4 linked regions of the Arabidopsis thaliana genome follow. The protein of the gene in region 1 interacts with the protein of each later gene in a pairwise test. Each region holds a gene or a part of one and is shown on either strand. Other genes may lie near its edges.

Region 1 (6,419 bases):
AGAACTCAATGGAGAACATCATGCCACCACAGCTCGAACGGCTCCTACTAGAAGAAGACTTGGATGTGGCTTGTGTTGTGGTTGATTTGCTGGCTTCGTGGGCTATAGGAGTGGCTGATCGGTGTGGAGTTCCGGTCGCCGGATTCTGGCCGGTGATGTTCGCTGCTTACCGTTTGATCCAAGCAATACCGGAGCTAGTCCGAACAGGCTTAGTTTCCCAAAAAGGTAGTTCGCATTATTTTGATACACCGGTTAATTCACATACTACGTAGTTGTTTTAATATGTTATTGTGATTATAACTTAGCGGAAGCTTTAAAGTAAATTATAATAGACGTAAAAATGGAGAGTTATGAAATTGCATGTGCGTATATATATAGTCATGGTAATCAGTAGATCCATTATATTATAAAAAAAATGAATATATATCATGGTAATTGGTTGTCCCCTCATGTTGCGGTTCAATATATATAGGTCTTTTAATTAGTCGGTCGACATAGGTTTTTAAACAGAACATTTGTAGTTGATAATTGCCGGATTATATGATTACCTAAAAAATATGCAATCATTGGATACGGTGATAAAGAATGAAAATGCAAGTCTTACGAAGTTTTAAGTCATGACTCAAATTAGAAAGGAGTTTTATTATTGGATCACTCAATGATATCCACATATATATCATAGTTTTGGTCATATATACAACATGAAAACTGTTAAGTCAAACTTTTAGTTGGAAGTGGGAACCATGAATCTAACCATATGAACAAGAAAAACCCACACTAATCTGATATTAATTTGATGAAGCAATTTTCCAAATCTAATTAAGTTTGAAAACATATTTTTTGCATGTCTTTCGTTATTTTATCCTCCCTTTGTTGTAATATTTTTTTTTTTGGTCATATTTTTATGGTTACTACATTATTTCATATTAATTACAGTTAGTTGTAACATTGATGTGCAGGTTGTCCTCGTCAACTAGAAAAAACAATAGTCCAGCCAGAGCAACCGCTCCTATCCGCAGAAGATCTACCGTGGCTGATCGGAACTCCCAAAGCTCAGAAAAAACGATTCAAGTTCTGGCAAAGAACTCTAGAACGAACAAAAAGTCTCCGTTGGATCTTGACAAGCTCCTTTAAAGATGAATATGAAGATGTCGACAACCACAAAGCATCCTACAAAAAATCTAACGATTTAAACAAAGAAAACAATGGTCAAAACCCTCAAATCCTTCATTTAGGTCCATTGCATAACCAAGAAGCAACAAATAATATAACTATAACCAAGACTAGTTTTTGGGAAGAAGACATGTCTTGTCTAGGTTGGCTTCAAGAACAAAACCCGAACTCAGTCATTTATATCTCATTTGGAAGTTGGGTTTCTCCTATAGGAGAATCAAATATTCAAACGTTGGCATTGGCGTTGGAAGCGTCAGGGAGACCTTTCCTTTGGGCGTTAAACCGAGTGTGGCAAGAGGGACTACCACCAGGTTTTGTGCATAGAGTCACAATTACCAAAAACCAAGGAAGGATCGTCTCATGGGCTCCGCAACTTGAAGTTCTTAGAAACGATTCTGTGGGATGTTACGTGACTCATTGTGGCTGGAACTCGACTATGGAGGTACATGTAACATATTGATATACACTAGTAAAATCTAGCATGTATTATATGATTATGGTATCTACTATATAAATTAACTTTATACAATATGTGTATTAAATTTTGATTTATTGCTTGTACAATAATAGGCAGTGGCAAGTTCCCGGAGGCTACTATGTTATCCGGTGGCCGGAGACCAGTTTGTTAACTGTAAATACATCGTGGACGTTTGGAAGATTGGAGTGAGATTGAGCGGGTTTGGAGAGAAGGAGGTTGAAGATGGACTAAGGAAAGTAATGGAGGATCAAGATATGGGTGAGAGATTGAGGAAGTTAAGAGACAGAGCAATGGGGAATGAAGCTCGTTTGAGTTCGGAAATGAATTTTACATTTTTAAAAAACGAGCTTAATTAGACGAGCGAAGAGTGTCGATGTCATAATATTTATATTTTCATTGTTTTAACTTCAAAATAAGCACTTGAAAATGTATAGTGTTTTCGAACAACTTGAATCAATGATGTTTTGATTCAACGATTGTAGTTTTTATTTGGTTAAACATTTGGTATGAAAGCATTTTAACCATATTAACGAATATATTTGACTCTAGTGACCAATTTATTTATTTTAAATGGAGACAAATTTCTTTGGAGAGCCATCAGTATTCAGCCATCATATTCAATAAGATTAGTTAAGTTGATCTGGTCTTATATGGTGCACGCATGTCAATCATCTTAAAGTTGAAAGAATTAAAAGTAGTTGACAAAATTAAGAGAAAAAATAGCGACATTATATTGGACAACGTTTTCCTCATACGCCTTTATATAATCATAAATAGATTGTAGTATATAGATTCTCTAGTTTATTTAATGCATCATTGATTTTTTTTTACATCAAACAAGAAAATATCATATTAGTAACTAACTTTATTAGATAATTAACTATAGTTTTATAATTGTTTTCTTTCTATTTTATTTATGTATTATTTTTATTTTTTATTTTTTTCAGCATCCTTTATTATTTTAAAATTTTTGTTACTCACTTTATGCATTATTTTTAAGGTCGTTTCTTTTGCAGAAAAAAATAAAATACACTAATAATTAAAGCAATAATATTTTTCTGACAAACAAATAAAAAAGGATTACTGAAATTAATTAGAAAACGCGGAAAAAATAATTAAAACGACACGCAACGGTGACGTTTTCTTTGACCCGCCAAAGAAGAAGAAGAAAAAAAAGAAGTCTTGAGGAAATCTGACGAAGAAGAAAACATCTCTGAGACCGACGAAACGAAAGTATCCATTTTTATTTGTCTGCAGTAGTAAATCAATCGCATCGGAAAAAGGAAACCTTCTTTAGCTTCTTCCGTAGCTGACGTCTCTCTCTATCTGTCTCTTAGGTGCCTCTTTCTTTTCTTCAACGATTTCTCTCCCCCTCTTGCTTTAGCTGATCGATTTCGAAAAATTGAGCTTGCCAAGTCAAGCAACCAGATTTTGTTGGTAATTATCTCAACTTTTTGTTTGCTCAACTTTAGGATTTTGAATCTCAGAGAATTACGTTTCCAGTAGTGGGTAACGTTTCAAGAATTTGAGATTGTTTTGGGTTTCTTTTGAATTTGGGTTTATTCAGTGTGATCTTTGATCTGGGTTTCTGTAGTTTTGTGTGATTGAATCGAAAGTTGTCTTCTTTTGTTACAGATTACAACATTTTAGGTTGATATACCTTTTGGATTTGGTTGCTTAATGGTATTGGATTGATACTAGTTTCTCAAGATTATGGTTTTCGTTTTAAACTGATCAGAGGTAGTCTCTGTCTTGCTTCCTAGGTTGTATTTAGTATAGGATCCAAATACAATGGATGAAAACCATAGGAATCCATTTGCAAATGCAAGTACAAGTGCTAGAGCAAGCGGCAGTACAAGTGCGAGCTCAAACTCGAGTTTTAGTAGCAGTGTGGCGGATACAGATGATGATCAGACCATTGCACGTATATTAGCTGAAGATGAGAGCTTGAGAAGAGAAGGCAAGCTTGGGAAGAGATTATCTCATTTGGATTCTATCCCAGTATGATAAGCTTCTTTTGCTTAATCTTCACATTTAGGCTTGGATCTGTGCTATTCATTGTTGTTGTTAGTGTCTATTGGTGACAAGTTCTTTGAATATCTTGTGGAATTTTTTATTGGCAGCACACTCCTCGGGTTAACAGGGAGATACCTGATATAAATGATGCAACATTAGACCATGAGCTGCTCTCTGGGAGGTTCTCATCTTCTTATCAACGTTTCCTTTAGTGTCATCGTCTTTCATTTCCTTGACTGCATTCTTCATTTGATGCTGATTAGATTGTTCATTGTCGATAGAATAGCTAGTTGTTTTCAATCTAGAAACATCTTTAATGGTCTCTCTTTTTTGTTCAGGTTGGCCACATATGGTTTAGCGGAATTGCAAATGGAGGGAGATGGAAATTGCCAGGTACGTTGAAAGGAACATCCATATAGACCTTGTGTGGACTCTTCAAAAGACTTTGTATTGATTTGCTTTGTCATATTGTTATACTTGTTTGCCAGTTTCGAGCTTTAGCAGACCAGCTTTTCCGCAATGCAGATTACCATAAACATGTAAGGAAGCATGTTGTAAAGCAGGTACTGCCTGAGAACCATAACGCATCTCATTTTCTTGTTCACAAATGTCCGATTCTTTAGTCAGCGCCTTCAGGGATGAATGTGTTTAATCATATATACTGGCTCTCTTTCATAAACTCGTGCTTCTTCTGAAAATTCCTCAGCAACACCCTTCAAGCTGTCTTTCCTGTCTCTGTTGACTGGCTTTCAATCTCTGAAACTTTTTTTCTCGGCTTTAGCAGTTAGCTCACTTCCTGAAGTTCCCATCAAAACACCTATTTCCTTAGTTTTGGCCACATACTACTTTATAGTTTACTGCAATTATTCTGACTTAGCATTTGCATTTTTCAGTTAAAACAACAACGGAAGTTATACGAAGAATATGTGCCAATGAAATACAGACACTACACCAGGAAGATGAAAAAGTGAGACATTTTTATTTTTTTTGATAGTGTCAACGAGTGATAAATTATTCTCCGATTCATTCTTTTGCTGATACATTTTGGACGCGACTAGACATGGTGAATGGGGAGATCATGTTACTCTTCAAGCTGCAGCGGATAGAGTAAGTTTTCAAAGAGATACCATCCTTTGAGTTTACTATAATAGACTACAAAAGTTTTACAAACATACCTTAAAGATCAGATCTTCTTTGAGCAACTGCATCTTGAAGACTCATCAACAAATTTTACCTTTATTCGCTCACATTTCGTTACTTTTTTTACTTGAATGACTGGCTGACTCAGCATTACTGCAGTTCGAAGCCAAGATCTGCTTAGTCACATCCTTTCGGGATCAATCCTACATCGAGATTCTTCCTCATAACAAGAACCCTCTTAGAGGTACAAAGCCCTCTTTCTACCTTTATGCTCTAGGCCAAGTTTACTCGTTCCTAACCGTCTTGAATCCTTTTGTTGTACTGCAGAGGCTTGGCTCAGCTTCTGGAGCGAAGTGCATTACAATTCTTTATACGCTAATGGAGGTAAAAAACTCAGTTTCCTGCACTCAACTCTGCTTTTAAAGTAAATTATTATCATCACTAATTATCTCCATGGCTTTCTGAATCTCAATCTGAGTAGTTCTTGCTCTTCCAGATGTTCCAACAAGAAAACCGAGAAGGAAGCATTGGCTCTTCTAGTATTGGATTTAAAGTTCATCTCCATTTGTATAATGTATACCACTTTCCTCAGATTTATTTGTGCAACTTTGAGATAACCTTACTTTGTTGTATGCTTTATCATTGTAAAAGAAAAGAGTAAACATAGATATATTATTTTAAATACATTTATAATCATGTATATTGACTTTTTATCCCTAAGTTTTTACATGGAAATGATGAATCATAACGAAAATAAAACTATCATCATCAAAATATTGGTTGTGATACTTTCAAAAAATGGACCATAATGAGATCAATTTGAACCGACCGGGATGAAATGCAATCACATGGACCAAGTAAACGTGTCGTTGAGTTATATATAAATAAAGTCTATGTCTTTTCAATATTTTTAAAATTGATTTTGGTTGAGTTTGGAACAAGTAAAGTAATGGGTCTTAAACCTCAAGATCATAAAAGAATCAGTGGGATGGGATCGGACATAAAGCATCACACTTTTTTCTTTGACTCATATAAGCATATGATGCATATCATTTAGGCAGTGGATTTAGTATGAAAAAATCAAAAACTATATTTTCAGAACAAAATTTACATAAATTAATTTTAATTTGCTTATAATTAATTGTAGTAAATATGTTACACTTAAAGTTTTTTGAACCAATTAATGATTTAAGACTAATTTTATTATCATACTAACAAAATAGGAAAAAAAATCAAAAAAAAAAGTTTGGATTTTTATTTGGGTTTGGGCAAAAGGTCAGGTCATGTGTCGATGTTACACACGGCCAAGGAAACAGAACAAGAACAAATAAAGGCCATTGCTTTCTTCTTCCCTTCCCCTTCTCTTCATTGCCCTTCTCTCTCTCTTTTTTATCGCGGAGAGAGTTTTATAGATTTCTCCTTCTTCAACTTTACTTGCGTTTCTTTGTTTTATCAATTCGAAAACCCTAGCAGCAATCTCTGCTGATTTCACTTACCCACCTCGAATTTTGTTGTTCTATCTCCTTCACAAAGCACCACCTATCTGAAACCCTAGGGGAAGAGGATTCTCTCTTATGTCCTCTTCTGTTATCTTCTCTTACCTCTAAAGTTT
Region 2 (6,219 bases), on another chromosome or scaffold:
GAGATACGTGACCATACCATGCAAAGTATATTAGGTTTGGCAGAGAAGAAATGTGAAAATATCCTACCGTTGAAAGCGTTAGTTCATAGGTAAACCCAAATATTCTGTAAACATAGTCAATGAAATCCAACACACCCTTCACTTCTTCCTCAACCTGCAAATAGATAAGAATATTTCTATAAAATAAGAAACTGGGAGGATAAGGAGCTCCAACGTTGCTGCATAAGAAACAAATATCACAAACCTGATCCACTCTACAGAATATGTGTGCATCATCCTGAAAACAAGTATGCACAATGTTATTTAATTAAGCAACACGCGCACAAAAGGGTTAAAATCAAATTGACAAACTACTAAGTAAAGTAAAGTAAAGGGGTAACTTCTTCACTTCAACATGGCAAATAAGCTGCTTAACTAATCATGATATCATTTTGAATGTCGCTAGTCTTTATATAAAGCAATCAATTTTTAAGTTTTAAACATTTTACCACAAGAAAAGTCCAGAAAGATGCAAACATACCTGTACAAACCGTCGGACACGGGTCATTCCACCAAGTGCTCCACTGTCCTCATTTCGGTGTAACACTCCAAATTCGGCCATTCTAATGGGTAATTCTACATTCCATACCGCAAAACAAAAAAGATGTCAGCAAAAGATATATATGCAACACTTGCTTCGATGTTTGGAAAATGATTGTCGTTTAATCCCAGCTCGCCATAATAAAGTGAATCGTAATAGAAGCCCTGCAATAACAATTACCATCAGAGATAGCCCGTCTTTGCAACATTACAGATGAAATACCAAGAACCAAACAATATTGACTCCTCCTTTTTTTACTCTTTTAGCCAAAGAAACATAATTAAGGGGAAAAAACACAGAACAAAGCTCTTACTTCATCTCTGGGTTCGCAGGGTCCAATACATAGCTTGCATCCATACTCCTGCTCGAGAGCCTGGCCTAGAATGTGGGCGCTAGAATGCCAGAAAGTATTACGGCCTTGGTCGCTGTCAAATCCGAAAATCTCTAAGGAACAATCACCTTCCAGGGGCCTATTCATGTCCCACAAGACATGATTAACCGAAGAAACCAGAGCAGATTTTGCTAAACCCTTAGAAATCTGCACTGCGATGTCCATTGGAGAGGTCTCCCATCTCCTTCCTTCTTTCTCGATACCGTCGGGGAGAAGAGTAATCCTAAGCAGTGAAACAAAAACCAGAAATCAACTAATTGCAAAACCCTAGCTTAGCAAACAAATTGATGCACCCTAGTGAAAATGATGAACAATTAATCATAAACGTATTTACTTGATTGGATCGTGTGGCCGAGATTGAAGCTGCTCAAGCTGCTCGGCTTGGATTTCCTCGAAGAGCCTGATACGCTTGGGGATGACGGATGAGAGATAAGCCTCATCCTTGGGATGATGATTATTCGCCATCGATGGATGAGCAGAGAACGAAGGACAAATAGAAACTATAGAATATAGAAGATGACGTTGAGAGCAGAGGAGTAGATTATCCCAAGGTCAACTTCCCTTTTATAGCTACAACACTAAAGTGACTTGCGGGCCAAGCTTTAGAGCTTTTCCTTTCATTTTTTGTAATAAGGTAATAACAACAAGTGGCAGATGCACCTAACTTTACATAATTTCCTTTTGTATTTAAATAATTTTCTACAATATTTATAATTTCTTTTCAATTGAATTGTAGTTTTGTTGATAAAATGCAAATTAAAAGTATATGTATATAACCTATTTTGGCGTGACTTTCTTTGATTTAATGTTTCACATTTATATTTGTTGCATTCTCAATAATATCCAAATGACCATTATTAGGCCTATTAATGTGGAAGCTATAAAATCAGTTTGAAGTGGGCTTATTATTTGTAGTTTTGGGCTCTTAAAAGCCTATTAATGATGAAGCTAGAATCAGTTTTGCAACGTTCTCGGATGGTTTCGTGTTACAAAAATGTAGTCGGGTTCGATTTGGTTGAACCGGGTCTGGTAGACAATAATGTAATATTGGAAAGGAAAACGGTTCAGGCTTCGTGGCGATGAGCATCAACCATCAAGGCTTTGCTGGATGTCTTCAAAGCTCAAGAGTGCCAACTTTATGTATACGAGGATTGTTCAAATATTAAAACCAACCAAAGAAGTGGTCTTTTGATGTTTAAGCTTATCGTAGGATGTTTCAGCTGGACTTTGTGTCTCTTCTTTATCTCTACCAAAATAATATCTAATCACTCTCTCTCTTTTTATTTATTTAACAAGATTGTTTCGACTTAAAAGAGTCATGTAGTGACTGACACCTTTCCTATTTTTACAAGCAAGCATCATTTTAAAAATTTTAAAATTTACTTTTCTGGAATAGAAAAACCAAAAATAAGCAAAATCATTAAACTAAATTGCCCAAAAAAAGTTAAAAACCCAGAGAAATACTCAAATTAACCTAAACAATATCTCTTATAAAATCATTATTTCTAATTTGGTAGTATTCACAAAAGATATGCATGAGCTGATTTTGTTTGGAATCTCATACTAATGGTTGCATGTAAAAACAAAAACTAAAAAATCTTTAATAGTATTATATAGGAAAAGCTATAATCATTATACAAAAACTGTATCATCATCATCATCAAGCTTGAAATCACTCTCTTTCATCCTTCCCCGCGCACTGTGTCTCGCTCTCTCTCTCCCACATTTCCATTATCTCCTTTACTTTCTTTCTTTGAGAATGTCTTCTACAACAATCGGCGAGCACATCAGACTCCGACGAGCTAGAAACCAAACAATCCGTCATCTCCACGCCGCCGACGATGATCCGCCGCTAAGCCACGTCGTTCTTCCGATTTCACAACCTAATCGCTTCTGTAACTCCGCAATGTCTTCCTTCTTTCCCCTCCCGACTTCCTCCTCCAACGAAAGCACGAGGAAGAAACCGTACCAAACGTCGTCGTTTCGAGGGATGGGTTGCTATGCCGCAGCAGCAGCAGCAGCTCAAGAGGTTTCTGTTCCCTCCGTCATTCGCTACTCCGCGGATTTGGATGCCAGAATTAGAAAAGATAAGAAGAAGAAGAAGCATAAGCATAAGAAAAAGAAAAAGAAGAATAAAGGAAGCTACGAAGATGGTTCGATTAGGATTTTAAGCGAAGAAGCTAGAGACGTTATTGATGTTTGGTGCAGACCTGGATTAGGCTTCTCCACGGATGCTGTAATTGGTCGATCGGTTGATCCTCCTCGGGGAAGGAATATTCCGTCGTCTCGTCGCAAAATTGATGTGGATAACAACAATTATAATCACACACTGGTAAATTGATCTAAAGTTGGATGATGAATTTAGTGTTATTATGTTATTGACTTTGACTTTGAGGAAATGGTATCGTTTAGGCAGAAACTGTGTGGAGTGGTTGGAGCTCTAGTGGTTGTAGTTAGCTCTATGCCAATTGCTGGGCCATTGTTAGTTTGGTTTGGTTTATTAATATATGTGTTTGGATTCTCGTTTAGACAAATCATAAGGGTCTACTTTAGATGTAGCGGTTCTCTATTATTAGTTTTTGTTTCATGTGAGGATAATATAGAAAATTTCTTTGTTTGACGTGCGGGTGGTTCTTTTGGGTTTGATGCTCAATAAACTAATCGAACTCTGGTTTGGTTAGAGAATGGAATCTTATCATGCTTTTGTCTCGTTTAGCTAGAGGATGGAATCTTAGCATTGTTTAAGTTTCTTTTTGGTTGGATTCAATTGGTTAGGGGAGTTGTTGGATTTATTTTGATCAAAGAAACGCATTGCTTCAGAGGACTTGAAAATTAGGAATCTATCATCATGTCTAAGTGTTTGAGAAATGATAACACAATGCTACAAATGTTCTGCAGGGTTCTTCTGTTCTTCCCATTCGGTTTCTCAATCAAGAAACTCATTCTCATGATATCTTCAACTCTGATTCTACTTTTGTGACATCATCACGCGCTGAACCAACGATGTTGTCAAGTAGATGTCGTGGCCATCTTCCACGCTCTTACCCTGATGATCTTACCGAGGTAGAATGTTCTTGCCAAATAGTTGCCTTGTCTTTCTTGCATCTGGTAAATGTTATAGATTTGACTTCTTAGTTTATTAACTGATCACACTCAACACTATGTTAAGGTTTGACTTGTCACTTGGCTTCATATCAACTAAGAGATTATTCTAGAGTTGTCTCTTACATATTCTAGTGACTGATAGAGTGGAAGACAAATAATGTAATCGTTCTCTTTGGTGCTGTATGGTGCTGTAAAACTGTTTTGGATGGCTAATAGCAAGTGAGCAAGTTAAAGAACTAAACCATGCAGCTAGTGTAGTCATGTTCCTGCTGTTCACTGCAGATGAGGATGCTCCAGAATGGTTTTGTAATGGGAAGAATAACAGATTCCCGTGATAACTACCACGAATTGAGGCTCGATGTTGATAGCATGTCATACGAGGTATGTTTTTCAAAATCTCATGAGAAAAACACTTGCAATCTCATCTTCTCAACTTTATCGAGTGTGTTTGCTTTGGTCTACGCAGCAACTTCTTGAGCTTGGTGATAGAATTGGTTATGTGAATACTGGACTAAAAGAAAGCGAGATACATCGTTGTCTTGGGAAAATCAAACCATCCGTATCACATACTCTTGTTGATAGAAAATGTAGCATCTGTCAGGTAAACTCCAGATTGAGTCAATGGCTTCTCGAAACTTCAGACAGATCATGAGTTTCATAATGCTATTCCTTATTGTTTGATGGTGACAGGATGAGTATGAGAGAGAGGATGAGGTTGGGGAATTGAACTGTGGACACAGCTTTCATGTCCATTGCGTGAAACAATGGCTTTCGAGGAAGAATGCTTGTCCGGTCTGTAAGAAGGCAGCATATGGCAAGCCTTAAAAGACTTTTGTATCTCGTCGGGTTTCTGATAGCTCAAGATCTTTCAAGCCACCTTGCTGTATAGAGATCTGTATCATCTGATACTTGATTCATATTTGTTGTTTTTGCATTTAGCAATCACAATTTTTTTTTTTTAAGATCTTATATTCTTTGTTGGGTCTATTTATGTGATTGAAATCAAGAGTTTGAAATCTATGTTTTCTGTTGCCTAGGTAGATTTAAGACAGGTAGAGAGTAATTTAGCATATAGCATACACGCACGTAACTAAGAATCAATGTTTTAACGTTTGAGTCTGCATTTATATATATATGTGAAGTAAACTCAACCCAGACTTTTATTTATGACAGAAAAAGTGTTTGGGATCCATAGACAAGAACACATTACATTAATCTTATCCAAACGAGTTTTACATGAGATCATGCAACATCTAAGAAAAGCATATAAATATAAGACATAAAGTAACAAGAACCCCTCAACTTAACATCTCGAATTTCCGTAAGTGCTCTGAGATTCTTGGCAATGTAGGGAAAAGCCATTATTACTTGCCATTGGTTTTGCCTAGAGACGTGAAGCTCAATCTGCGAATAATCAGACAAACAAAAACAAACAATCTTTGTCAAAATCCAAAAATGTATATTCAAACGTTAAGAGTAAACATAGACACAAAATCACTTACTTGATTATCGGTTTTCGCTGTTGTACTGAAGGTCTATGTGCCGCATCGGGCTGTCGCGTGGGAAGAACCTTTCAACAAAAGAGAAATCAGACAGGAGGAATAAGATCAAGAGAACAATTTATGTATCGAAAATTGATAAGAAAAATAAGAAACCTCAAGTTCTTCCACTGCTTCATAAGGGAAAGGAGAGCCATTTGAAGTAGCTTCGAATGGAGGTATAGTTGCAGTAGCAGACAGGACTGCAACTTTATGAGATATCTGCTCAATCACTTGGTTTCCAAAATCAAAACTTTCTTCAAGCTCCTCAGTTTCATGAGCTTGAGGAGTGGCTATCTTTTCTATCGGAAGACTCTCTGGTGGATCCTTACTGAAAGCAACAACATTTTCTGGTGGATCCTTACTAATAGGCTCAGATTTACCGTTTGTACAATAATCTTTCATAGGACTTGAACAAATTGATCCAACAGATGGATTTGGACTCCCGCCTTCACAATTCTCTACAGGCACTGAAACAGCAATGTGTTTAGAGTTCCTTGGCTGATCGGTGAGTGTTTCACTATCTCCCCATTTTCTCTTCTTCCCATCAACTGGACTGTTAGAACCAGCTTTACTTTCAGAACTCATTTCGGTAGTAGTGGTAG
Region 3 (5,017 bases), on another chromosome or scaffold:
TTGGTTGTGTTGGTGTAAGTGTCATTGAATCAGCTGGTTGTTGTATTCAGTGAAATCCATGTCGAAGGATTACACAACTTGGATTACCTTGACCAACAAAAGAACAGAACACGTTTCACTGATCATGAGAAGGTTATAACTTTCAATGCTCAAGTAAGCCTCTTTCCATTTGCCAATTCAAATTTCAACCCTTTTATTATTTTAGTCCATCACTAAAAAAAAACACACCTTGCAAAAAAAGCTTGACAGGTTGTACCTAAGCACTCCAGATCAACTAAGAATCGTGGACCATAAGAAAAAGAAGACTATTGTTGTACACAAGGAGGGACAAGTTGATGCCGGTAATTACAAATTTAGATTTGTAAACATACATAGACATAGACACAGTCACACAGAAACAGATTGTTTTAGTAGTACTAATGATGGATCACTTGTAATTACAATGTGCAGTGGTGTGGAATCCATGGGATAAGAAAGTATCCGATTTGGGAGTTGAAGACTATAAGCGTTTTGTAACGGTGGAAAGCGCGGCTGTCGCGAAACCGATCACAGTGAACCCCGGCAAAGAATGGAAAGGAATACTCCATGTTTCTGTGGTTCCATCAAATCGGAAAGCTTGACCCTATAAAAGTCTTGCATTCATCATCCTCATCCTTTAAAAAAAAAAACTTAAAACTGTCTTTATTAAAGTATACTTAATGTTCCCGAGAGACATCACATGGTGAACACAAAGTTAGTTGGGTTCCAAACTGGACTCTTGACCAGTTTTATTGTTTTGTAACTTTAGCATTCATGAATAAAAAAAGTGCGTTAATTACAATAATTGTTAAATGTAATTAAATAAAAGTGCGTTAACTACAATAATTGGATATTGGTTATTTGCAAAATTCATGTTCTTAAATCATCAGTCTAAACAAAAAAATTAGATTAGCCGAAGATTTCTTCTTCTACCCTTGATGATACTATTTGGGATGGGCTTGCTTAGATGTGCCGAATCCAATTCTCGTTTTTGGGTCTATCTATATTTGGGCTGGGCTTTATAAGAGGCGAAGCCCATGTCGAACAATCAATTTTTTTTTAATTTTATATTTCTTTTGGGAGTCTGTTCTGTCGTATTGATTAATAAAGTAAAAAATCTTAGCCACAAAATTAAATCATCTCCAAGACGTATCAATATCATCATCAATCCACCAATGAAAAGTTCTCTCTTTTTTTTTCCCACTCTTACTCTGTTCTCGCTACAGAATCTCCTGGGAAAAAAAAAAAAGAAACTTGATCCACCCGAATTCCCCAAATCTTCACAATTTCTGGAAACTCTCTCGATCGTGAAGCAGAAAAGTGAGGTTCCAAATGGGTTCTGTTTCGGGTCAAACCCGAATTACAACGATGAACCTCTCGCTCTCAACAGCAGAGAAGAACCCTAATTTCCGCTCGTCGCTTCTCAATTCTAAGGTAATTGTTATCACTTCGTCGAGCTTCACCAAAAAAATGACTCCTTTTGCTTGATTTCTTCTTCTCCTCTTTCGCTTGTGTTTAGAACGCAATTTCAGATACTTTAGGGGTCTCTTCCAAATGCAGTACATTCCTCAGGGGTCAATTTCAAAGAATACATTTTTCTTGGCTACAACACACTCGACCTTTGAGAAAACGAACAGGTACTTGATTTGCAAACCAGACCAATCTCTTTAGAACTTTAGTTGTGATTTAGATTCTTGTTATGTTTGGTTTAGTATTTGGTCACGTGAGCTGCGTCATGCCGTTAACGGAAGAGAATGTGGAGAGAGTGTTAGACGAAGTACGACCATCTCTAATGGCCGACGGAGGAAACGTGGCGTTGCACGAAATCGACGGACTTGTGGTGGTTTTAAAGCTACAAGGAGCTTGTGGTTCGTGTCCTAGCTCATCAATGACGTTGAAGATGGGAATCGAGAGTCGTCTTCGAGACAAGATTCCAGAGATCATGTCCGTTGAGCAGTTTCTTGAATCCGAGACAGGAGGTTTAGAGCTGAACGATGAGAACATTGAGAAGGTTTGGTTTTTTAAAGGTTTAGTTATTTTTGGTTTATTAGCCCCTTGGTTTTGAAATTGATCTGAATGGTCCTTTTTTGGTTTGTTGTCAATTTAGGTTCTCTCTGAGTTAAGGCCGTACCTATCCGGTACTGGAGGTGGGGGGCTTGAGTTAGTTGAGATTGATGGTTACGTGGTCAAGGTTCGACTCACTGGACCAGCTGCTGGAGTCATGACTGTTCGTGTCGCGTTGACTCAAAAACTGAGGGAAACAATTCCTTCTATAGGTGCAGTCCAGCTTCTAGAGTGACATTAACCTTTTTATTTTGTAACTTATATACAAGGCCTATTTTTGATTCAATATATTTTATTTCCAATTATATAATTAGTACAACTAATACAATAACCATTTCTGTTGAAGAAAAAGGAAAAGAAAAAAAAAGTATCCTATGTATGAAGGACATTTTCTCTAGTGATCCTTGTTTTTAGGTAACAGTTATAAAATATTCATGACTTGACTACACAAAGATAATCGAACTTAAAGAGTTATTTCCTTAAACCAATTATTCTCTAATTAAATATGCATTTATAGCGAGTTCTTGGTGAGCAAGGATACTAGAATCTCTATAATAAGTCGGACATAAGAAGATATGAGGAAACACAGACATAACATAGTTAAGAGTTTCAACAATGTCAAAGCTTATAATCAACCGAATATTCAAACCCTCTGTCTGCAAAAATTTCCTCGTACGTAAGCTTCTCTTGCTTTTTCTTTTTAACTTTAATTTTGTTCTTGTTGTCTCTGAATACTTGAACATAACTATGGCAGAGACACGCAAACGTTCGTCTGTTCTCATCTGCAACTCACACGAGTACTAAAGTGAATCAGCCCTTCTCGTCTAAACCAGCCTTCCCGTTTCTGTTGATTGACTACATCCTAAACAACCCAAACTCTTCCTCCGATGGTCGCGTAACAACAAACGTTTACGGTAATGAAAAGGAAGTCTTGATTAAGGACAAGGATCTTAAGGAGGAGGTCTGTGATGCGATGACTGTCGGGTTTTCTCGTGATGGGTTGCGAGTCGAGCTTTGTGGCAACCACGGCGATGTATGTTCTCCCACCATCTTTTACAAGCCTACTGACCCCGAAATAGAAGACTTGACCGTTGATCTACCTCCTCTACCGACGGGTTCACAAATCCAAAGCCTGGTCATGTCCTCTTTACCTAAACGAGACAAAAATTGGGTAGTTGTTGTCAAGTTATTGGGATCTCAGTTGAGTATGTGCAGGCCTTTTGGCAGCCGTAAATGGATCAACATCCAAACCAAGCCTCAGAATATAAACCCTTCATCGAGCATCATGTTTTCCAAGAAAGAGAAAAAGTTCTACGTTCCAACTCCCGGAGGCAACATCTTGTGCTATTTGGATCCTCACTCAGAGGACGACGACCTAATTGATTTCGTGGAATTGGAGTTTGACGATCTTCCAAAATCGGTGTTTCAAGAGTTGGCCGACGTGAGTACATGTTCTAGGACAGACCACCTTGTGGAGTCACCCACCGGCCAACTTTTCCTAGTCAAGTGGTATACTATCTAATTAAAGCTATATATAGCTTTTGTCTTCATAACATATATACCAAAATCTCTAATCCTTTGCTTGAGTATCATATTGGCGCGCTTTATCATGTCTTTGCAGGTATGGAGAGGATTTAGAGGACATTGACAACACCACACTGTATAATGTAACAAAAAAGTTCATGGTGTTTAAAGAGGGAGAGAAACCGAGTTGTGTCTACACTAAGAAGATGATCTATACAGAAGACATTGGAGATCTTTGCATTTTTGTTGGACATAGTGAGGCTTTCTGCGTCCCGGCTAGCTCGTCCCCTGGCCTCAAGCCTAACTGCATCTATTTTGTGGGCTATAACTTTGGTGTTTATGATCTCACCACCAAAACTTGCACTATGTTCCTCACAAAAGATGATAATCCATTAAGGAAATTGGAATTCCCTTACTGGCCTCCTCCGGCTTCCTTTCCAGTACTAGCTCCTAATTAATTATCTCTCTTGCACGTGTTTATGTTTCGCTAATGTTATCGCTGTCTTTGCTTTCCCATGATTTCATTTAAATCCAATGTTCTCTTTTAATCTATGTTCAATGAAATTTATATTAGTGCCTTAAAAGAAGGCGAATCTATCCTACCAAAAAAAAAAGAAGGCGAATCTAAACGAATTCGGTTAATTCATCATATTTCTCAATTAATATACGTAAGACACACTTTGGCACAAAACTTATATAATTATTTATTTCCTGAAACAAGTTATCCTCTAAATATGTATATTTAATGTCCTAAGGTGTAGTACCCTCGGTATTCACTAGACAGAGACGGGGAAGACGAAAGAGTCGCACGTCAAATCAAAATCACAACACATATTTTGAGTGTTGTTACATTATTTTGTGGTGGATCACTATGTGGAGTCACCCTCCGGTGAACAATTCCTCGTCAAGTGGTATATATACTATAGACATTGCTTTTGAATAAACAATTATACAAACTATTAGGTTAATTACTCAACATTTTAATTTGATTTAATGGCTCCTCACCAAACACAAGAAGAGAGGTGAAACATGTTATCTTATTTGTTCTTCCATGCATTTGTTTTTAGGTACGGCCACAACTTAATGCGCAATCACAACAAAGTGGAAACACTCGTGCACATGGCATCACAGTTTATGGTGTTTAGAGCGGAGGAATCATGGGAGGAAAAGTATGTGTATTACACAGAAGATATTGGAGATCTTTGCATCTTTCTTGGACATAGTGAGGCTTTCTGTATCCAGGCCAGTTCGGGCTCAAGCCTAACTGCATCTATTTTGTGGGCTATAACTTTGGTATTTATGATCTCACCACCAAACCTTGCACTACTTTCTACACAGAAGAGGATGTTCCATTAAGGAACTTGGAATTCCCTTACTGGCCACCTCCAGTTTCTCTCTACTCATAAAATTT
Region 4 (4,793 bases), on another chromosome or scaffold:
AAGCAGAAGAAATCGACTAATCTCTCGCCAATGTCGTCTCCAGAGAAGAAGAGGAAGAAGAATCAGAAATCGTCCCCAAATCCGTCACTTCCAGAAGATTTGATAGTGAGCATCTTAGCCCGCGTCTCGAGATCGTATTACACAAATCTCTCCGTAGTCTCAAAAACCTTCCGATCAATCCTTACTTCACCGGAGCTTTACAAAACCCGAACCCTCTTAGGCAAACCCGAGACTTTTCTCTATGTCTGCCTACGCTTCCCTGATGAAGCTAATCCTCGTTGGTTGATTCTCTACCGGAAGCCTAATCAAACCCTAACTAAGAAGAAGAAGAAGAAAGAGGATTCAAGTGTTCATCTTTTGGCTCCAATTCCAATTCTCAATTCTCCAACTGTGGAATGGTCAAGTCTAGTCGCTGTTGGTTCTTATCTGTACGCCATTACCGCAGACATCAAAGATTCTCCATGCTCTAACGTTTGGTACCTTGACTGTCGAACGCACACTTGGCTTGATTCTCCAAGATTGCGACTGGCTCACATCAATAGTGACTTTAATGGGAGGACGTATTTCCCAGGAAGCTCTGAAAAGCCAGATTCTTTGAACTGTGTTGAAGTGTACAACACAAATACTCAGACTTGGAATCCCGTGCCTCCCCAAAAACGAAAACTCAAATTCGGAAATATGGAAGGAAAGATTTACATACCCCCTTGTCAAGAGAATCATAGGAAGGCTGTGGCTCTAAACCCAAAGGTTTTGACATGGGAAGCGGTAGGATTGGGTACGAATTTGGATAGGGGTTCTTTTTGTATGATAGGGAACATAGCCTATTGTTATGACCCTAGTGGGAAGTTTAGATGGATGAATTGTAACACTGCGGAAGGAGACTGGAGCAGATTAGAGGGTTTAGAAGGGCTACCTAAGTTTGCTAGATATAGTACTGTTAAATTAGCGGAATATGGCGGGAAGCTGGTTGTTTTGTGGGACAAGTATGTAGCTGCAAGTGGGTATAAGGAGAAGATGATTTGGTGTGCAGAGATTTCGCTTGAAAAGCGCAACAGTGAAGAGATTTGGGGGAAGGTCGAGTGGTTTGATGCGGTTCTTACAGTCCCTAAGTCTTATAAATTCGTCTGTGCTAAATCTGCTACTGTTTGATTGATGACTCAGGACATAGGTACGAAGCTTCTTTTATTTAGTATGTCACAGTTGAAAGAATGTCTTGTATCTTTTTCGGAATGCAGTTGTCATTGTTTTCGCCTTACAAACACCTGCACTCACTTGCTTGTAGATGATTAAGCTTATTTTGTGACTGTCTCTTTGATAATTCCTTTGATGCCAAACTCTTTCTCCTACTGTTTTTTGCTCTGAATGTTGTGTTGCAAAATGCCTATATTTATGTGACTATGATGAATGCTTCTCTCATGCTTTTAGCGGATATTGTTTCACTTCTAAACATATGCACTCACTTGTAGACTGTTTAAGCTTACTTTGTCTATGAGAATACTTTTGTTTGTCTTGCATAGAAAAGTACTGTTATCTTTACATTTCACGATAAGAGCTAGAACAAGATACACAGTTAGTGCTTGTTTTGTTGTTTAAACTGAGGCTTATGTTCATGTCTTGTACTTGTAGCCAACCTAACCTACAAAGAAATTGCTACTGTAACAATTTGAGGATCTTGTGTGAAAATACGGGTGGACTTGTCAAGCCACTCTTTCTTTTCTTCTCAATCGAACACTATTATTATCCAATTATATACTCTCTATTTTTTATGATTCAATTCAAGTTAGATTCCATTATGCACAGAAAATTAAATTGATCATATGTCCAAAGCTCTACTGTCATTTTTGAATTTTGTTGAAATTTTGAAGGGTTAACTTATTTTGTGCCATTGACCACTATGATGCATTTGAAAGACTTTTTTTTTGTTGTTGAACATACGTGATTACTAGCTTCATAGGAAGAAATAAGTGTAACAAAATATATATATTTGACGAATTTTTGGTCCTCTACTGGTAATTTTGAGTTGTGTTGTAGAAATTTGTGGTGACTCAAAACTATTGTTTTAAGGCTCATTAAGATTCAATACAAATGAATTAGATAATTCTATAAGGCCCATTAAGATTCAATGCAAATTATTTAGATAATTTCTAAAGGCCCACTAAGATTCAATGAAAATCTGCAAGTCGGAGTAGAAGCAGAAGAAATCGACTAATCTCGCCAATGTCGTCTCCAGAGAGGAAGAGGAAGAAACGGTCGCTTGAACCGTCACCGGAATCGACCCCAAACCCGTCACTTCCCGATGATTTGATTGTGAGCATCTTAGCCCGAGTCTCTAGATTGTACTACCCAATTCTCTCGTTAGTCTCCAAGAGCTCTCGAACCCTCGTTACTTCGCCGGAGCTATACAAGACTCGATCTTTCTTCAACCGAACGGAGAGTTGTCTCTATGTATGCTTAGATTTCCCTCCTGACCCTAACCCACGTTGGTTTACACTCTACCGAAAACCTAACCAAAACATCACCGAGAAGACAAAGAACTCAAGCGGGTTTGTTTTAGCCCCAATCCCAAATCACCATTCACATAGTTCGAGTATCGTTGCTATTGGGTCTAACATCTATGCCATTGGTGGATCCATTGAGAATGCACCCTCTTCTAAAGTCTCAATTTTAGACTGCAGGTCTCATACATGGCACGAGGCACCAAGCATGAGGATGAAGCGGAATTATCCAGCTGCTAATGTTGTTGATGGGAAGATTTATGTAGCAGGAGGCTTGGAAGAGTTTGATTCATCTAAATGGATGGAGGTTTTCGATATAAAGACTCAAACTTGGGAGTTTGTGTTAAGCCCTTTAGCGGAGAGATTTATATATAGGAGCTTGGTGATTGAAGGAGAAATCTACATTTTTGGGGATAAGGTTGTGACTTACAAGCCTAAAGAAGATAGATGGGGAGGTGTAGGAGAACATCAGAGTATGGATTTGGGATTGTTTTTTCATTCTTATTGCGTGATAGATAATGTACTGTATTGTTATCGTCCTGGTGGAATCAAATGGTATGAATCAGAGAAAAGATCGTGGAGGAAGTTGAGGGGTTTGAAGGGATTGTCTAAGCTTGCTAGTAGCTGTGTTAAGTTAGCGGATTATGGTGGAAAGATGGCTCTTTTGTGGGACAAGTATATCCCTTGTAGTGGGAATAAGAGTCATTCGATTTCGTGTGCGGTGGTTTCCCTTGAGAGATGCAAGAATCAGGGTATTAGGGGAAAGGTTGAGTGGTTTGATGATATGCTTACGGTACCTAGCTCTTATAACTTTGTGGGTGCTCTTGCTGCTACTCTTTGATGATGATTGCCATACGAGGCACACACATTTGATTGTCTAGCTAGCTTACAGATAATTGCTTTCTATGTTGTAATAACTTAATGATGGGATTCTTCTTACCATATTATTTCAAAATGCAACTGGCTTCATTTCCTTCTTCATTTTTGTTTTCTTGTCAAGATCAAACAAAGATTATTCAGTTATAGCGTCTTTTGTTGTCTAGAAATCACTGAACTAGTAGTTAGTTATTACACCTTCACCGGTTGAAACAACAACTTGATGGGACAGGGAAGTGAGAATCTTTTTTGCCTTCTCGGTCTTAGAAAGAATGTACATTTGCGATGAGAGTAAGAGCAAGAATTTAAAAAAGAACAAAGAGGAAAAGCCGAAGAAATTGACATTGTTTTTGCTTATAAACATTTGCAGTCACTTGCTTGTTGATTAAGTTGATTTTGAGGTTAATTGACAACTATAACAAATCAGAAGATTTAAGTTGCAATTATGTGCGCTAAGCTAAGGCTTTTAGACTCTTATCATCATGTAGTAACATCAAGCCAAGTGCCAATACCTTTATATAGATACTTCCTGAATACAACAAAATTGGACACAATGATCTGAGTTTCATATTATATAATATAAATTAACTAAACCGATTTCTCAACCACACATTTGCTAAAGGCTCAATATAAATTAATTAACCCTAAATCCTTCTTCTTCGACCTTTTATTTGGCGCCAAACCCGCAGTTACATGTTTTTATTTCCCGCTCGAGCAAATTGATCTGATCCGAGTCTTTCAAGCGGGGAGAGAAAGAGAGAGATTCGTTAGTACATTGATCTAATGGCGTCGAATTCGGAAGCGGGAGGATCGGCGGATTACGAAACATTGATGTCGACATCGGACGTTGAGCTATTGAAGAGGGCGTGGCGTAACGAGAAGGCGGCGCCGGAGATTCTTCAGTACGAAGGAGCTCTTGTCGATAGAGCCAAAGAACAGATCGAATTAGTGGTAAAATGTCTAAAACCCTAAATTATTCTGTTGGATTTTTTCCCAGAAATTAACCACTAAATCAGAAATCTTTTGGTCTATGATCCAAATTAGACTTTCCAATTGTTAGAATAGTATTCGTTTTTGTGTGAAATCGAATGCCACATTAAACTTAGTTAGAGTTGTTCATTGTCTTGTCACTTTCTAGTGGTTGCATTTGGAAATTATCAGTTTTTGAAATGTTTGTAAATAAACAGGAAGAAACAATTGAAGATTATGTGGAAAATGGCATAGATCCTCTGGTGGTGTCTCTATATCAGATGGATTTGGACAGAGCCCAGTTTCTACTCAGATCATATCTCAGAGTTAGGCTTCTCAAGGTTTTTTTTTTTTTCCAAGACTTTCATATTAGTTTTGCGAGTTTATCAACGTTGATTCCAAGTGTCAATGTTGCTTAATTGACTTTGCTTTTATGTCATCTCCAATGGTGTT

What was found.
Region 2: the proteins of AT3G22260 (region 1) and AT1G17970 interact in a two-hybrid assay, tested with the Arabidopsis thaliana proteins (one large-scale study listed by BioGRID).
Region 3: the proteins of AT3G22260 (region 1) and AT4G25920 interact in a two-hybrid assay, tested with the Arabidopsis thaliana proteins (one large-scale study listed by BioGRID).
Region 4: the proteins of AT3G22260 (region 1) and AT5G49000 interact in a two-hybrid assay, tested with the Arabidopsis thaliana proteins (one large-scale study listed by BioGRID).

The regions. Positions count from the first base shown.
Region 1 is NC_003074.8:7,868,047-7,874,465, forward strand, and holds AT3G22260 (Cysteine proteinases superfamily protein), read left to right. Parts: upstream 1-2,789; 5' UTR 2,790-3,088; exon of another isoform or gene 3,089-3,414; 5' UTR 3,415-3,442; coding exon 3,443-3,652; intron 3,653-3,774; coding exon 3,775-3,848; intron 3,849-4,005; coding exon 4,006-4,060; intron 4,061-4,155; coding exon 4,156-4,230; intron 4,231-4,560; coding exon 4,561-4,634; intron 4,635-4,725; coding exon 4,726-4,774; intron 4,775-4,966; coding exon 4,967-5,051; intron 5,052-5,134; coding exon 5,135-5,191; intron 5,192-5,288; coding exon 5,289-5,347; 3' UTR 5,348-5,551; downstream 5,552-6,419. Other genes in the region: AT3G22250 (UDP-Glycosyltransferase superfamily protein), read left to right, coding at 1-225, 960-1,615, 1,744-2,007. UniProt on the Arabidopsis thaliana protein: Hydrolase that can remove conjugated ubiquitin from proteins in vitro and may therefore play an important regulatory role at the level of protein turnover by preventing degradation. Inactive cysteine protease.
Region 2 is NC_003070.9:6,182,302-6,188,520, forward strand, and holds AT1G17970 (RING/U-box superfamily protein), read left to right. Parts: upstream 1-2,415; 5' UTR 2,416-2,730; coding exon 2,731-3,303; intron 3,304-3,869; coding exon 3,870-4,034; coding exon of another isoform or gene 4,035-4,106; exon of another isoform or gene 4,107-4,358; coding exon 4,359-4,457; intron 4,458-4,542; coding exon 4,543-4,677; intron 4,678-4,766; coding exon 4,767-4,901; 3' UTR 4,902-5,172; downstream 5,173-6,219. Other genes in the region: AT1G17960 (Threonyl-tRNA synthetase), read right to left, coding at 68-154, 245-277, 521-615, 672-744, 894-1,194, 1,306-1,436; PAPS1 (poly(A) polymerase 1), read right to left, coding at 5,441-5,480, 5,579-5,646, 5,732-6,219.
Region 3 is NC_003075.7:13,162,778-13,167,794, forward strand, and holds AT4G25920 (hypothetical protein (DUF295)), read left to right. Parts: upstream 1-2,697; coding exon 2,698-2,754; intron 2,755-2,836; coding exon 2,837-3,591; intron 3,592-3,703; coding exon 3,704-4,064; 3' UTR 4,065-4,095; downstream 4,096-5,017. Other genes in the region: AT4G25900 (Galactose mutarotase-like superfamily protein), read left to right, coding at 51-153, 242-341, 451-620; NFU3 (NFU domain protein 3), read left to right, coding at 1,351-1,452, 1,538-1,655, 1,731-2,029, 2,126-2,317.
Region 4 is NC_003076.8:19,862,310-19,867,102, forward strand, and holds AT5G49000 (Galactose oxidase/kelch repeat superfamily protein), read left to right. Parts: upstream 1-2,100; 5' UTR 2,101-2,217; coding exon 2,218-3,336; 3' UTR 3,337-3,516; downstream 3,517-4,793. Other genes in the region: AT5G48990 (Galactose oxidase/kelch repeat superfamily protein), read left to right, coding at 31-1,149; SLD5 (DNA replication protein-like protein), read left to right, coding at 4,155-4,322, 4,559-4,681.